Linked DNA regions of Xenopus tropicalis. The protein of the gene in region 2 interacts with the protein of the main gene of each other region in a biochemical or structural test. Links are inferred from orthologs where the notes say so. Each region holds a gene or a part of one and is shown on either strand. Other genes may lie near its edges. The genes, in order: snap29 and ehd1.

Evidence for each region.
Region 1: the proteins of ehd1 (region 2) and snap29 form a complex in vitro, tested with the Homo sapiens proteins (2 studies listed by BioGRID). The link is inferred for Xenopus tropicalis from reciprocal best matches to the Homo sapiens genes EHD1 and SNAP29.

What each region holds. Positions count from the first base shown.
Region 1 is NC_030677.2:153,633,234-153,635,749, forward strand, and holds the end of snap29 (synaptosomal-associated protein 29), read right to left. Parts: intron 1,327-2,516; coding exon 1,166-1,326; 3' UTR 531-1,165; downstream 1-530. UniProt on the Homo sapiens protein: SNAREs, soluble N-ethylmaleimide-sensitive factor-attachment protein receptors, are essential proteins for fusion of cellular membranes.
Region 2 is NC_030680.2:32,934,340-32,938,178, forward strand, and holds part of ehd1 (EH domain-containing protein 1), read left to right. Parts: intron 1-2,467; coding exon 2,468-2,880; intron 2,881-3,086; coding exon 3,087-3,251; intron 3,252-3,839. UniProt on the Homo sapiens protein: ATP- and membrane-binding protein that controls membrane reorganization/tubulation upon ATP hydrolysis. In vitro causes vesiculation of endocytic membranes. Acts in early endocytic membrane fusion and membrane trafficking of recycling endosomes.

The DNA.
Region 1 (2,516 bases), on a different chromosome or scaffold from region 2:
AATCTTTTATATTTATCAATATATTATGTCTAGGTAAAAATGCTGCTGTACAAGATTATTGTGCTACTTCTCAGTCTAGTATGCAAAGTGGCCTTTTTAAACACGCCCTCAAACATATATGCATTTGACAGTGAAACACAGGCTCAGATGTTATCATAGCTTGTACTGCTTAAAGATATACAGTATATATGTTAATGTACAGCTACTAAAAAGCTAGGCACATTTGCCTTCAACAGCTGCTATAAATTCTTTACCACTGATTTTATCTGAAGCACATGTGCCCCGTTTTGATTATGATTACAACTTTGTAATTGATAGTTACAAGGGTGCATGGTGTTATTGCTCATGTAATATTTTACACAGCTTTAAAATATGCCCAAGTGTGCTAATAATACAAAAGGGGAAATAAGGATTACTATGTCCAAAACATTTAATAAGTATAAGGGAGTATGAATAAATTATCTGAAATGTCAGGCAGAGAAACAAGTCTACAGACTCAAATTTGTCTAAAGAAGACAAATGGCACAAAATCAGAAAGCAAATAATATATTAAACAAGTTAGTTAAAATAATAACAGGCAAGATTATTAGGCTTTTTTTTTTAACTTAACAAGTAAACTGATAAAATATTCACAGTATGGTTTACGGGAGTGTCACATAAATTTATAAACATATTTATACACAAAGTTTCAGAACACTAGATTAAAATAATAAGGGTAATAAGAAAGTGGCATATGGCAGGGCCCATTAAACCCTATGTTACGAGCATGTGTAAAATATTGCAGTTTTAATAAAGGCATGTTCATATGTCTATTCTGTCATATAGCAGTAAGGTAATACCTAGCAAATGAACTCAAATACTTTATTCAGATCCAGAGCTATAACAAACTGCCAATCACTACAATACAATTCCAATAGTAAGACAATTCATTTTTATATCTTAATAAGGATCTATATTAGTAATAATACTGCAAAACATCATCTACATTTAATGCTAACGAATGTAATGTATAGTTATACAGAAGATATAAGATTCAGATAGGGATGTGTGGGATATTTATGTCCCAGTATAAAAAAAAACAAAAAAAAAAAAAACTGCATAACATTATAAAAACCACAAGAATAAAACTCAAGAGTCGGTCTTGGTCAAGTCTGAAATTTGTCTTTTATAGCTCTTCGCGAATCCGCTTGTCTGTAGTCTTGATGTTTAAGTCCATCTTATCTACTTTGCCAGTTAGGCGCCCAAGCATCTCATCCTGGTCATCGATTTCTGTCTGAAGTCCTAGTGCAAGGTTTTTCAGGCGACCCAAACCTAAAGACATGTCATCTGGAAGAAAGGAATAACACAACCTTAGGATTAGTATTATTATTTTTAAAATGCAGCAATATTAGTAGGTATGGAAAAAAAAAATACGGTGTATGGGTTACACCTTGTCATTTAGCTTTAACCAGGTCATCTATAAATGGTAGCCTTGATGCCTAGAATCAGTCATTAAAATCTGTTGGGAGCCTATTTCTTTCCCAATAGATTCTTAATGTGATTAGTTGGTTGGTAATTAGAGTCGCAATCCTCCAAACTGTTTATGAAAGATATGCCAAAACAGGAAGTATTTGTTAAGAGATACTGACACCAGAAATGAAATTATTTTTACATCTGTCATAACATTGTCTTTGCATGCTATTTATAATTTTGCCATAAAAGTATTTGTCCAAGCTTTTACATTCCCTATCTGATCCCCCATGTTCCTCTATGAGGGGGCGGCCATATTTGTCCAGCAGGAGGCCGTTAGCATTAGAAGCTATAACTGACAGGCTGAGAAGGGACAGTCAGGCTGGCAAAACAGTCAGGTTTTGGGATTTCAAGTAACAATTACTTACAAAAGCAGCCCTATCAGTAAAAAATGATCAACACGACCTATAGGCAACTTTTTATGTAGATTTATATTTTAAAAAGTTTTTTTTTCGTGTCAGTATCACTTTAGCAGTCATAATGGTTTTGTAGACAGGCCAAAGGGGTATTTGAAGAGCAGCTCTCTTATTATTTCACTCCCAGTCTTATACCACACAAATCCTTTCAGTGTTATTATGTAAAAAGACACTGGGTTACCCCATTAGGGCAAAGGCACACATTTCAGTAATTTAAAAAGCAATTGTAATACTGATAATAGTAAATGTAGGATTGGTAGTTAATGATCCTCAGAGCCTATAGTAATCCAGATGCCAAAGCATGCAATACCATATTTAAATTGCCAGATGTGTGAAAGGTCCACCTACCTTTACAACTTGACAGCAAAGAATTTTAATGGAATATCATGGCCAGACAGACCAGCCTTATCAAATAAACCAATTTAGAACATTAATACGAGGCAGGGGGTATGTGCATTTCAGATGAAGATTTTTTTTTTTTTAAAAAAAAAAGGAAAATGGGGAATCCAAAACGATCCCCAGGAGTTCATTATACTTTATAATTTAAACATTTTTTCCAGAAAGTCCAGAAACTTACACATTTATTAAAGC
Region 2 (3,839 bases):
TAGAGTTTTATATAGGTGAGTGAATTTCTGGCACTGTATAGGTATGTGTGTCTGTACCTGTAACAGTGTAACGTTTTGTGTTTTTTTTTTTTTTAATAAAGGAATGAAAAGTTTTACTGTAGACAATTTATTATGAGCAAGAATGGGTCTGATAGTGACACCAACGAGTTCAACAAAAAGCTCAGAAGTTTCAGCATATTGGTTGAAGTTCTTTTTTTGTTACCAGATATTGCTAGAGTTAAATGACTTCATTTTTAGTTGTATAATATTTCTCAGAGTGCAGACGTCGGTGAAACGTCATTGGAAATATACTTCGTAAATAAACTGGTGGTTGGCATGAATCACTGTTTGTTTTTCTTCTCATTTTAAACACATGGTGTTAACACATCGCCTACAATACCAAGTAACTTTAAAGGGTTTCTGTAATGATTTTTATGATGTACAGGTATGGGACCTGTTATCCAGAATGCTCGGGACCTGGGGTTTTCCAGATAAGGGATCTTTCCGTAATTTTTATCTCCATAGCTTAAGTCTGCTCAACATCATTTAAATATAAATAAACCCAATAGGATTGTTTTGCCTACAATAAGGGGTAATTATATCTTAGTTGGGATCAAGTACAATATACCGTTTTATTAATACAGAGAAAAAGGAAATCATTTTTAAAAATTAGAATTATTTGCTTATAATGGAGCCTATGGGAGATGGCCTTTCCGTAATTCGGAAATTTCTGAAAAACTGGTTTCCGGATAAGGGATCACATACCTGTACTTTTAATTATAAATTACACTGTTTGCAAAGCAAATAATTCACTCTAACATTTAAAATTTTATTCTTGAACCAACAAATGGATTTTTCAGCTTCTTAGCTGTAATACTGGTGTGTAGGCACCATCTCAGTGCATTGTGCCTGAGTCTGAGCTTTCAGAAGGAGCCGGCGCTACACATTAAAACTGCTTTCAGGTAACCTATTGTTTCTCCTACTCCCGTGTAACTGGAGGAGTCCCAAGCCAGACTTGGATTTCTTACTATTGGGTGCTATTCTGATACCTACTGGGAGCTGCTATCTTGCACCCTTCCTAATGGTTTGCTGATTGGCTGCTGGGGGGGGTGGATATCACTCTAACTTGCAGCTCAGCAGTAAAGTGTGACTGAAGTTTATCAGAGCACAGGTCACATGGCTGTGGCACCATGGGAAAAGAAGGATATGGCTAGCCCCATGTGAAATTTCAAAATTTAAATATAAAAAAAATTAAATAAGCTTAGGACTTAAATAAGTCCTGTTGTGCCAGTATTTTTGAACTTAGGGGACGGTGCCGAACCCTTTAAATATTGTACACCAGGCGGGAGCATACGTGGAAAGACCAGGGTGGGTGTACTGGTGAGTGTGGATTGGCATATCTGGTTCTGACTACATGTATCTTTAAAGCAATCTCTCATTAGTCTGTTCTCTTTTAGCCAAGACATAATTTCCCTCAATATATTGCACACTTCTATGAGAGCCGTCTTCTAAAGGAAAAAAAAAACACTGTTTCTTGATTATTTGGGGTGTAAAATGAAAGCAATGATAAATAATAGTTCTTCTCGGATAATAACCTTTTTTCCAGGGCATAGCATCGGCACCCTTATTGGTATAGTCCCAAGATTTAAAAGAGTGAAAATAGTGACACCTACAGGGAGAAAGGACTAGAAAAATATGTTTGGATTCCCATACAGCAGTGATATTGACGTATAACAGTGGGTCAAATGTCTGATGGGACATATTGTTTTTGTCCCTAAAGGGCCATATTGTAACAAAATGAAAATATGACTTAGAAAAGTCTGCCGATCCTTTATAGAGCTACAGCTGACTTTAATGCAACATGCTTTAGTGCAAATAAACTTTACATTGATCTTCGCCATTCAACCAGGACTTAATAGGCCCATGTGCCCCTCACTGTTAAAGACATTGTAAAATTTGGTGTCATTCTTGCTGTAACATTAACCCCAACCTCAAGTGCTCTCTTGGCTTTGTTTATTATTCTTTTCACTATAGCACAGTGTTTTAGTTTGGCATAATAAATAGCCCCATCTTTTTTTCCCTTATAAGGCATAGTAGAATATGACTCATGAAGTGACTCTATTTTTCCATTTCTAGGGGCTTAAAATCACAGAAATATATCTTTTTTTCCATTTAGTTTATACAGAACAAGGTTAGTTTTAATGCAGAAAAAAACAGCTATATCCTTTTTTATTCACTTCCCTTTGTGATCTCTGATCCCCATTGAGTAAGTGTTGGAACAACAGACCACAAAAGTTCCAGGATGCGTAAATTTTCAAGGAAAACTGTCTATATGATAAACTGTCTTTTGGTTAAGTATTCATTCTCTGGGTATTATATTCCTTTAAGGAAATAAAATAATATATTTCCAGTCGATACATTGCTTTTGTGTTGTACCATTATGTATTAATGCCGCCTTCTTTTTTAGGGTATGACTTTGCTGCAGTCCTAGAATGGTTTGCTGAACGAGTGGATCGCATTATCCTTCTCTTTGATGCTCACAAGCTGGACATCTCTGATGAATTTTCTGAAGTCATCAAAGCCTTGAAAAACCACGAGGACAAGATCCGCGTAGTGCTTAACAAGGCAGACCAGATTGAGACTCAGCAGTTAATGAGAGTTTATGGGGCCCTCATGTGGTCCTTGGGTAAAATCATTAACACTCCTGAAGTAGTTAGGGTCTACATTGGCTCTTTCTGGTCCCACCCTCTGCTCATCCCTGACAACCGCAAACTGTTTGAGGCAGAAGAACAGGACCTGTTCAAGGACATCCAGTCTCTTCCAAGAAATGCTGCTCTTCGTAAGCTAAATGACCTTATCAAGAGAGCCAGATTAGCCAAGGTGAGTTTAATGAAGGTTGGACTTGTTCTCATTCGTTCATGAAAGGTTTTCTTTTCATTCTTAAAAGTATTTCTTACAGTATGTATGGGCCAGTGCTACTACTTATGGCCAGCTTTGCTTCTTAGAACCTGTGCTTTATTGGACCTAAATCTCCCTTAAGGCCTTTCCAGAGAAGAAGTGTTAATATAATGTTTTTAAATCTCAAGGTTCATGCTTACATAATTGGCGCCTTAAAGAAAGAGATGCCTAATGTATTTGGAAAAGAAAATAAAAAGAAAGAGCTGATCAACAACCTGCACGAGATTTACATGAAAATTGAGAAAGAGCACCAGATTTCTCCTGGAGACTTCCCCAACATCAAGAAAATGCAGGTAAGCCTGCTTGCTTTAATACAATAAATAAGCAGAACTAACTCTCCACCTATATGTAATTAAGTAGAAACTAGTATGAGACATGGTGTATGGTATGTTTGAAATTGTTCTATACTGTGTTTTTTTAGGGATCCATAGAATCCACATTTTTGGATTCGTCCGAACCCTTTGTAAAGGACCTGGCCAAATACCGAATCCGAATCCTAATTGGAAGGATTAAAAATTTAGGATTTGGTTCGACCAGGAACATGGATTCGGCCGAATCCAAATCCTGCCGAAAAAAGCCAAATCCCAAACTGAACCCTGGATATGTTGCATATGAGACAATTTCAGAGCTAATTTAGATGGCACTTATATGCTGCCATTACTTTTGTCATAGAGGCTTGGTGCATAAGGTAGGCTAAAGAGCTAGTGCCACATAAAGGGCATTATTCTGTTGTGTATGTATGCATATCTTTATTTATAAAGTGCTACTTATGCTGTACTGTAGAAAATATTAATATTTCCCTATTTTAATATTATTAAAATAATAGATAAACACAAATAAACACAAGATACAGTTGCAATAAGTTAAGACACAAGAGGATG